2 linked regions of the Drosophila melanogaster genome follow. The protein of the gene in region 2 binds, or shares a complex with, the protein of the main gene of each other region. Each region holds a gene or a part of one and is shown on either strand. Other genes may lie near its edges. The genes, in order: Su(fu) and fu. A codon is read from its position in the direction of its gene.

Region 1 (4,256 bases), on a different chromosome or scaffold from region 2:
CGTGCTCGCTCGACACCCAGCTCAATCCCAAGGGGGGTCACTGCCTAAACCGAAGGTCATCCACCGGTCGATGGGTTGGCCCTTATGTAATCGCCGGCGTTTGGACGAACTTCAAGTCCGCTCCTCTACGTACTTGTAAGCCGGAACTCCAGTCGCTGCAGGCAGACGTGCGATTCACTTGAAGACTCTGGGAATCAGATGAAGCCGACTCGAGAATCGCGGGAATCAGTGGTCGGGTGGAGACCTCTCGAGCGAGCACACAACCGAACGCTTGCGTCGTCGGCGGCGGAATGAAGAAAACTGAATTATTTTCCACGAGCTGTTTTTGCGAAAAATCGCTCGCTCACTTGATGAGGGGCGCCTAATCGGAGAAGCAGAGCAACTGTTCTCTGCGGTAAACAAAAATTCACCTAGGCAACGCTCAGACAAGCGATGCGTCAAGGGTTTCCCATCAGCCAGGCTGATGATGCAGCTGCTCCAGGTCCAGTTCCTCGCGCAATCACATGATCCCGGGCGGGATTTTGTGTTCAAATTGAATGCTCTTCTAATTGATCAATTCCCAGAATTAGAAACTGAAGCATTCGGCGGTCCACTGCGCAATACCATCAATTGGTGGTTAGTCGGTGGCGATGACTTCCACCGCCTGCAAGTGGCCATATCCGCCGCAGCCACCAAAGCGAACTGTTCCAGTGCTCAATAGCCTGACCCCAACTTGACTCATCCGGCGAATTGTTCGCCGCTCCTGGCGCCGGCGCTTCCTCTTTTCATATTGCGATCAAAGGCCCGTCGAGTGGTTTCGGGTATATGTATGTGTTTGTATATTTTGACTGGACTCCGGCGAGGAGCAAAGGCCACGTGCATTGTGTTAGATGAGATGTATAAATGTAAAACTTACTCGTTAGTGGAAGATTCAATTCGATTAATTTAAATAACTACTAGCTAACCAATGGACACCATCACATTTTCAGAGGAGCAGCGTCGAGCGACATGGGCAGCACAGGTTCCGGCTGGTCGATGATCAGCTTCAGATTCTTGTCGGGCCACTCGAGCTCCAGTCGCTCCTTGGGCTCGCATTTCTCGTCTAGGCCCGCGCTGCGGAAGTCTTCCATCAGGCGCGGCACCAGTTCATCGGGAATCAGGACCTGAATCCAGTAGCCCAGCACGCCGTACGGTTCGTTCACTGTCACCGCCGAGCCGGTGACGGATTCCGCCACCAAAGTGAGCGCCAGATGCTGAGCCTTGAAGGTGAAGTGGCGCCCATGTCGGATGCGATCCTTGATGGCCAGTAGGAGGTACTTGGCCACACCAGGTGCGAGGGTAATCTCAATACCGTCCAGTGAAATGCAGTTTGGTGCCTGCGCTTGAAAGTCCAGGGGACAGGACTTGTGCAGCGAATTGCTGCTCATCGACATGGATTGTGGAAAGCTTGGTTCCTCGCGTTTCATTTGCGTATCCGTCAGCTGCCGATTGTTTTCGTCGTTGGCGCACTTCTCGCTCAGCGCCTGGAAATCCACCTCCTCCTTCACCTCCTTGGTAGGTTTCAGCTCACGGAACGTAAAATCTGCATTAACGCCGGCCAGATCGGAACCCTGCTTCTCCAGATCGTCCTGTAGGTTTAGCAGCGTTTCGGGAAACAGTTCGAAGACGCTCATCTGGCGATCCATGTTAGTCACCAGCCAATCACCGCCAGTTTGCATATCTTGGCGAAGGAAGTTGAGCACACCGCGCCCGTTCCAACGCGATGCCTGCTCAAGTTCGTCGTCAAAGACGCCGACGATCTGGCAGAAGTCCACCGTGCCCGTGGGAGTGTCGATGCAGCCCAACTGCGGGTCCTGGGCGACGAGCAGGTTCTGTAGCTTGGAAGTGGTACTGCCATCCAGACTCTTGCGCCACGGGATGTTGTCTCCGAAGCACAACCCGTTGCCTGTTTGAAAACAATAGCGTCCGATGGCCTGCAACAGGTTCGCCGGCCAGGTGGGCGGTCTTTGGGGCTTTTCCGGGTTCTCAATCTGCTGCTTTAGCTCTATTTCTGTTTTGGCCAAGCGAAAGGTCAACTCGAACCCCATGCCAGACCGAGTGACGCCCTCCTCGCGCAAGTGGACTCGCTCGTCCCCGTGTAGGTCGCTGAGTCCGAAACTAATGTAGTGCCAGTGCGGCGGAACGTTCCTATCCACATCTCCGGGATAGTTGTACATGCTAATGTAGTCCAACGGATCCTGACCGCCCAGCCAGTACTTGAGCAGTGTGGTCACCTGCAGCGGGTTCGGCTGGTTGGGGTACACCTGCCCGAGGTGGTCTATGATGGCCTTAAGGCCCGGCGGAGGCTTCACCTCAGGTTTTTTGTCCAAATTCGCCTCGGCCATTTCATCCAGTTTGATCAGTATGACCTCAGTTGGAACGTTGCGGAATACCACCGCTTGAATATACCATGAATAAAAATACTGCCATGTAAAGTGCGGATTTGACAATGGAAACTTACATGAGTTTCTTTTAAAACCATTATTTATTTTTAAAACCTTTTTTATAATAATTATTACTTTCTTACTTTTTTCTGCTTATTTTTAAAATGTAGAGAAAAACAGTGAAAATATATATCCATATAGCTTTAAACCACCACCATGTAAAATATTGAGTATTTCTTGCCGTGGTATATTTTTACATGCTGTTTATTTCTGCCAACCACCTACGGTCACCCTGTTGACCAACTATTTAATAGAAAATTTGCAAATTTTGATAAACGCACAAAATGGAGCCTTATGATGTCGTCGTCAACCAGCCCGTCGTCATAGATAACGTAAGTGGAGATGGGGCTCATTAAATGCGGGTAGCTTTGTGCAAATCTAGGGTTCCCAAAGTTTTAGCCAGCAAACAGTGACATCACCTACCGCCCGTCCCTTTGTCAACGAGCTTTCAAGCCGTCTTCAAATGGCCAACATGACTAATCCCAGAGAGAATAGCTCCGCAAACGCCAGAGATGGTTCAATTCGGAAGTGAAGACAGCGAAAACGGGGAATTTGGTCTATAAAGCTTGCGTGGAATCCCTTTATCTGCCCAGCACACGCACACACGGATATCTGCGGGCGGTGGCTGCATCCCTGCTGTTGCGTCCCTGCATCTGGAAGCCTCTGTCGAAGTCCATTTGGTGCCCGTACTCCATTGGGTAAACCACGGGAATAGACTCCACATGGGAGGCAGCGGGTCGCTTTAAGCGCTCCAGTTCGGGATCTATCTTCACACCACACTTGCCCCTGTATGTGCTGAACATCTTGGGGCGCAGCAGCTTGTTGTAGGGATCGCGGAATTGATCTCGGTACTTCTGGCACTCCAAATAGAAGGAGTCCACCTTGTACAAGCTGCCGTAGCTGATGTTGGTCAGTCCAACTGGCGGTGCGAACTTTAGTAGCGATTCCCGTTCGTATTGCGAATTCTTTGACACGGTCATCATGTCCACTTCCGGCACACTAAAGGATTCCATGTTGACTATATAGATTTCCTGTTTGCACGTTGAATTTTAAATAAAATAAGCTGACGCAACTAACTAAATGTATTCCACATCACTTTTGACAGGGCTCCGGTGTGATCAAAGCCGGCTTTGCTGGTGAGCACATTCCAAAATGCAGGTTTCCCAATTAGTAAGTGCCGTGGACCACTCACGAACCTTAAGAACCCCTAGAACTAATGCCTTCTCCTGCAGCATTGGCCGGCCCAAGCATGTCCGAGTGATGGCTGGTGCGCTGGAGGGCGACATATTCGTTGGACCCAAGGCGGAGGAGCACCGTGGCCTGCTTAGCATCCGGTACCCCATGGAGCACGGCATTGTCACCGACTGGAATGACATGGAGCGGATATGGAGCTACATTTACAGCAAAGTAATTTGTCCATAAATGTTCCATAATCTTAACTAAATGTTTTAAATGGCATTGACCAGGAACAACTGGCCACCTTCACGGAGGATCATCCCGTGCTGCTGACCGAGGCCCCGCTTAATCCGCGCCGAAACCGCGAAAAGGCAGCCGAGTTCTTCTTTGAAGGCATCAATGCACCTGCGCTCTTTGTGTCCATGCAGGCGGTGCTCAGTCTGTAAGCATTGCAATCTCACGAACTGCCCCTATCGATTTCATTTAACCACACTCTTGCAGCTACGCCACCGGTCGTGTGACTGGCGTAGTGCTCGACTCCGGCGACGGTGTGACGCATGCGGTTCCTATCTACGAGGGATTCGCCATGCCTCACAGTATTATGCGCGTGGACATCGC
Region 2 (5,824 bases):
GCGGCCTCTTCGAGGGCGACATCATGCTGCACCGCGAGCTGCTGAGGAACGGGCTGCTGAACGAGCGGCTCACCTGGCCAGAGGCCGCCGTGCCCTTCTACATAGACCCGCAAGACTTCAGTGAGTTAAGGCCTGCAAGCAGTCCAAAGTAGTAAAACACCCTTTCCAAACAGACGCCAACCAGACCATGGTCATACTGAAGGCCTTCAAGGAGTACCACGACCGCACCTGCATACGTTTCCGGCCGTACGAACAGGGCGACAAGCACTGGCTGCTCATCAAGGGCAACTACTCCGGCTGCTGGTCGAGCGTCGGCCGGCGTTCGGGTGGCCAGGTGCTCAACCTGAACACACCCAAGTGCGTCACACACGGCGTGGTGGTGCACGAGCTGCTGCACGCGCTCGGCTTCTACCACCAGCAGAGCGCCACGGAGCGGGATGAGTACGTCAAGATCAACTGGGAGAACATCCTCGACGGGCACGCGCACAACTTCAACAAGTACGCCCGCACCCACATCACCAACTTCGGGGTGGAGTACGACTACCAGAGCGTCATGCACTACAGCTCGCGGGCCTTCAGCAAGAACGGGAAAGCCACCATAGAGCCATTGGTGAGTAGGCCAACCCAAATGGTTACCAGTTATTCATGTAATTGAGTATTATTTTAAATCGCTTACACTGTAAAGGAGTTCAGTTTAACATTCAATAGTAATACTGCGAATTAATGGACTATTGTATGGACATACAGTAAATTCGCTTATCTTAACAATTACTACACCTAAATGTTATATTTCGATATACAAACTATAATGCTATCAATCTATTTTGCACAAACCACACTTGAATATGTGCATTCAAAAACACCTATCAATTAACTTAGATTCCATTAGGAATGCCAAAAACCGTGGCTCATAAAATATTTAAATTCGATAGTGATAGTGATTTGATCATATTCAGATTAGGAATTCCTATATTAACACATGGTCCAATGACGTGCAACTATGCTAGGAATAGACGAAGCATTTTGCTTCCTTGTCCAGTTGGAACTATATCAAATGAGAATTCTTTAGCTGAATGGTTGACTACACCTTAGCAGTTTTAGTTGAAGCGATGAGATGTTTGTAATGACTTGGGGGAGCTTGCATCGTCTACACTCTCTGACTCCTGTCCTTTGCTTCCAGGATCCGTACGCCTCGCTGGGCCAGAGACGCGGCCTCTCCGACAAGGATGTGTCCAAGCTAAACGAGATGTACGAACAGGACTGCAGCGAGGACTACCTGCTCAACTTCGACCGCTTCGGGAACTACATCGACGAACTGCTCGACTACTTCCAGGGCAACATTCAGGATCTGCTCGGATAAAAACGCCTGAGGCCAATAAAAGAAAGTGCCGGCTAGGTGACGAAAAAAGTGAAGTGACTGATCTCGTCGAGGGTCTGGGCGGCCTCCCCACGGAGTGCCGGGTACGAGTGGTGCTCAGAGAGTTGTTGCAGCGCAAATCGCAGCTCTCCATTCCATATGCGCTGCACGCCGCGCAGGCTGAAGCGGGCCAGCAGGCGCAGCAGCTGACAGGAACGTTGCCGCAACAGGTGGTGTCGGCTCTGCAGGAGCGAGACGAAGTTTAGCCGCGGATTAAAGACAATCCGTTCTACAAGCTCCGCGTTTTCGGGCAGCTCGCGCAGCACACAGCCCATCAGGGCCAACATGCACCCAGCCAGGCGAACAGAGGCGGCGTCTGAATCCGATTGCCTGAAGTCTACGGGAGAACGGGAACGGGCTAACAGTTTACAGGAGTCAGCTCATACCATCTAAGGGTAATCTTACCGTGCGTGAGGAAGTTGAGGAACAGATCGCTTGCTGCCAGAATGGCAACCGCATCGCAGAACTGCGTTAGGAACTGCTGCTGCAGGTGTACCAAGTGGCAGACCAGTTCGTACAGACTGCAAGCCGTCTCCAGCTCCTCGACAGTTAGCTCCGGAATGCTACGCAACGTTCGACTGAGCGAACCCGTGGTGAGTGGGGCGGAGGCAGCCGAGTCCGAGAGTTGTTTGTGCGACAGGAGCAGCTTGCAGGCGTACATGAGATTGGGCACCAGTTTTACGTCCACGTACACGTTGCGGATGAGCTCGAGGTCAACAATCAAAACAGGATCCACCAGCACAAAGGGCAACGACAGCAACTGGGCCACACTCTTGAGTACCCGTGGAATGGCCTTGGAGTTGCGCAGCGGTGCCACAATAATGCTCACCAGGTTGTGCTGTTTCAATGAGTCCAGTTCGCCGTCAAGCAGCTCCTGCACCGATCTGTTCAAGAAGGCTAGCCACTCATCGTTCTCGATGGGCGGACTTTGGGATTCATCGCAGCTATCCCACCCCGGGAGCAGGCACGGCGGAGTGTTGCTGTTATTGAAAGGGGAAAGTTAGTAAAAGAAATTCTATGAGGCGCAGTGGCCACTTACTCGCTGCTCAGCTTTTCCTCATTGGTGGAATGCATTGAGTGTTTAAGTTGTTGTGGCTGTTGCTGCGGGGGCTGAGAATTTGCGTAGGAAATTGCTTCAGCGGGAGGCTTGTTTTCCTGGTTATGCTTTTCCTGTGTAGCAATCTCCGTGGCCTTGCGTTGCGCCTCATGGTCGACGCTGTGACCCAAGCGAACAGAGAAGTTATCCAGATTCTGACTAAGCTTACGCTTCTCTAGATCCTTGCTGCGCGACTGGCGTACGGTTGGAGCGACTATTGGCTTAGCGGCCACGCCTCCGCCCCGCAAGGAAGCCTGAAAGTCGAAGTTGTCGTTCATATGATTGAGGATCATATTGGAGTTGCCACTGACGAAGCAAGTGTGCGAGTTGATCACCGGCTGGTGTACCATCGGCATTGCCCGAACACCAGACAGATCCCTGTAGGACAAGTCCGCGAAGGGAACGACCACACGTTGCATATTGTCCTCCACATCGGTCTCAAGATGCTCAACATCGCTGGGAGCAATGGCGTTTATGCTGTCGCGGGAGGTGGTCAAGTTTTCCTGTCGCGACTCGCCAAAGTCCAAAGCGGCCAGGGCCTCGTCCAGATCGCCTACCTCCGGATCGGACTGTTTTGACGACTTAACCTTGGCTTCGGGATTTGTGAAAGGCGATTCCTTGGCCGCCTCCGCCTGCGTTTCTGCGATAAAGATGCGTCCCTCAACGAAGGGGTGACACAACAGCTGCGTCCAGGATATGCGCAGACCGGGGTCCTTCTCAAGCAGGCCCTGTAGGAAGGAGCGGCACTCGCTAGTCAGCGTGCTCGGCCACTTGACGTCCTCGTGCTTGATCATCTTCACCAGATGCAGGATGGAGCTGGCACAGAAGGGCGGCTGACCGGCCATGCTTTCGTAGGCTATGCAGCCCAGTGACCACATGTCCGCATGATGGTCGTACGGCTGCTCCGCCAGCAGCTCCGGGGCCATGTAGAGGGGCGTTCCCTTGATCGAGGTGAGCACGTGGGTACCCAGGGTCATGTTGCGGGCCAGTCCAAAGTCGCAGAGTTTCGCGTGCATGTTCTTGTCGAGCAGCACGTTTTGCGGTTTGAGATCCCGGTGGAGGATGCGGTTTGAATGCAGGTAGTACAGAGCGGACACCAGATGCCCGGTCACCCGACGTGCCGGCTCCTCGCCCATGGCTCCATTGTAGGACAGGTAGCGGTGCAGGTCCATCAGCGCGAACTCAGTGACCACGAAAAGGTCCGTCTTCGACTCGAAGGACTCGATCATCTCGATGACGTGCGGATGCTTCAGCCGGGCCTGAATGTCGCACTCCCTGCGCAAATTCTTCAGCTCTTTCGTGGCTCTTCCGCGCTGCAGAACATGAATATGGTGTGAACTAGTTGTATGGACTTGTTGCTTTATCACCTGGCCCGCCCCACTCACCTTGGAGATCACTTTGATGGCCACCACCTTGCTGTCGTCCTTGCGTGTCGCCTTGTATACGCACCCGAAGGATCCTTGCCCCACCATCGAGCTTACCGCGTAGCGGTTCATGGTTATTCTTTGTTTTGCTGCGGATTGGGATGTGATTACCACTGAAGTGCGTGCGGTATGACCGTAGCAGGTTGACTCCGAGGTGGGAACTCGGCTTCGGTACGTAGGTATATGAAAATACTAGATTGCTCATACAGGGTTCCTTTTCTGATAAATGACGCTTTTGCTGGACAGCAATTGTACCTAAAAATCTATATAGACCAGATCATGATACAATCCAAGACAAATACAAGACTAGTTTGCGCTTTTATCTGTGGCAGTAGGTATTAGTATTATCTGCGAATAAACATTTATTAAGTGATAAAAGTTGGAACGAACTTTAACTTATATATTATTATATATTATAAATATTTATATGTATATATTTCTTAATGTACAAATTTTTACTTAATAAGTGCAATAAATGATATGCAATATAAATAATTAAAAATTCCAAAAGTGCAGTAGATAATATAACTAATTATAGGTATGTACCTATATATCGTAATGTACCTAAAATTCAGTGTGACCAAACCAACACAAATGACCCTTTTGACAGCAACTCGGTACGGTCACCCTAGACAAGCACGGCCGAAGAACAGCTGATTGCTGGCTGGTTTTTATTGTGCGGAGCCAGGAATAATCGTTGTGAAATAAATAATGATTGCCAATTTGAACACAGCCACCCAGTGAGACGACACCCACAATCGCAGCACGATGCGCGAGCCCAACCTGTACGTGATCCTGTCGCACGCGCTGATCGGTGAGTTTCCGCCAACCGGCAGACACTTCTGCCACGCCTCTTCCGCTTCCAGGCGGCAGTCTAATTGAGTTGGGGATTCCCACTGCCATTGACCACACTCCCAATTCCAATCCGCATCCCAGGCTGCGGCTTCTTCTTCCTATACGTGCAGCATGTGCGCGTGATCTTCGAGACGCGCACCAACATCCAGCAGCTCAATCAGCTGGAGCGGGAGGCGCTTCTGCGGCGCGAGGATGCCCTGTACTATGCCTTCTACAAGCAGCTGGCCGAAGGGCCGGACTTTTGGCACGGCTACGAGCAGCTGAAGAACGTCACGGACATCGAGTATCCGCACAGTGTCAATGTGCTGCAGCGATTCTACGTGCTGCCGGAGCTGGTCACGGCGTAAGTGACTGCCAGAGGAGTGATGCCCAAAAAGTCCACTAATGCAGATGCACTTTCGCTCCCCAAAGGTACTTCTTTCACGTAGTGCGCTCCGGCTTCAATCCAATGGTGCAACCGATGCAGTTCTATCTGGAGTTCGTGTGGCTGATGGGCGGGGTAACCCTGCTGGTACTCTACCTGTACGGAACGCTGCTCAGCGAGAACATTTTCGGTGGCATATACGGCGTAATCTCGTACCTGATGTTCCACAGCTTCGTGGCCAAGATCTATGAGCGGCCGCTGGCGCGGGAGAACTTCGCCTTTCCGTTCATTTTCCTGCAGATGTTTTATCTGTGTATCTGCATCGGAAGGATCATACACCGACAGCGGCACACATCTCGCATGTTCATGGTAATAGGTGTGCTTTATTGCATTAAGCTCAGTAACATCTTTGCCCTTCGAAGATCTTCGCCATGTCGCTTTTCACCGCCTGCGCCCTACTCTCCTGGCAGTTCTCCACCTTCATCTTCACCACCCAGATCCTGATCATGATGACGTCCTGGAACGCGAGCGCGCTGCCCACGGCTCTGGTCAACGCCTTCGTGCTGGACTACTCGCTGTCGCACCTGCTGGGCCACGCTCTCGCCTTTGTAATGTCGCACGGCAACAGCCAGCTGCTTCTCACCTGGCAGCTGAGCATCTCGCTGTTC

Evidence for each region.
Region 1: the proteins of fu (region 2) and Su(fu) are in contact, whole or in part, in a crystal structure (PDB 6LPH), measured with the Drosophila melanogaster proteins. Residues at the interface, in NP_477499.1 of Drosophila melanogaster: Phe371 (codon at 2,827), Val372 (codon at 2,824), Ser373 (codon at 2,821), Asn375 (codon at 2,815), Ser376 (codon at 2,812), Asn377 (codon at 2,809), Met378 (codon at 2,806), Ile379 (codon at 2,803), Leu380 (codon at 2,800), Asn381 (codon at 2,797), His382 (codon at 2,794), Met383 (codon at 2,791), Asn384 (codon at 2,788), Asn386 (codon at 2,782), Phe387 (codon at 2,779); in NP_536750.2 of Drosophila melanogaster: Leu18 (codon at 2,312), Ile22 (codon at 2,300), Pro33 (codon at 2,267), Asn34 (codon at 2,264), Pro35 (codon at 2,261), Leu36 (codon at 2,258), Gln37 (codon at 2,255), Val38 (codon at 2,252), Thr39 (codon at 2,249), Thr40 (codon at 2,246), Leu41 (codon at 2,243), Leu42 (codon at 2,240), Asp50 (codon at 2,216), Tyr54 (codon at 2,204), Met57 (codon at 2,195), Arg127 (codon at 1,985), Thr130 (codon at 1,976), Trp131 (codon at 1,973), Ala133 (codon at 1,967), Asn134 (codon at 1,964), Gln137 (codon at 1,955).

Annotation. Positions count from the first base shown.
Region 1 is NT_033777.3:12,689,076-12,693,331, forward strand, and holds Su(fu) (suppressor of fused), read right to left. Parts: upstream 2,394-4,256; 5' UTR 2,364-2,393; coding exon 957-2,363; 3' UTR 798-956; downstream 1-797. Other genes in the region: Arp1 (Actin-related protein 1), read left to right, coding at 2,747-2,794, 3,568-3,632, 3,695-3,869, 3,929-4,080, 4,140-4,256; CG31347 (uncharacterized protein), read right to left, coding at 3,044-3,475.
Region 2 is NC_004354.4:18,656,025-18,661,848, reverse strand, and holds fu (fused), read right to left. Parts: upstream 4,095-5,824; 5' UTR 4,010-4,094; coding exon 3,899-4,009; intron 3,827-3,898; coding exon 2,457-3,826; intron 2,398-2,456; coding exon 1,823-2,397; intron 1,755-1,822; coding exon 1,393-1,754; 3' UTR 1,361-1,392; coding exon of another isoform or gene 1,181-1,360; 3' UTR 645-1,180; downstream 1-644. Other genes in the region: CG6696 (uncharacterized protein), read left to right, coding at 1-120, 174-610, 1,181-1,360; CG6659 (uncharacterized protein), read left to right, coding at 4,706-4,751, 4,874-5,135, 5,204-5,525, 5,579-5,824. UniProt on the Drosophila melanogaster protein: Probable serine/threonine-protein kinase; maternally required for correct patterning in the posterior part of each embryonic metamere. May be involved in control of cell division during metamorphosis and ovarian development. May interact with costal-2.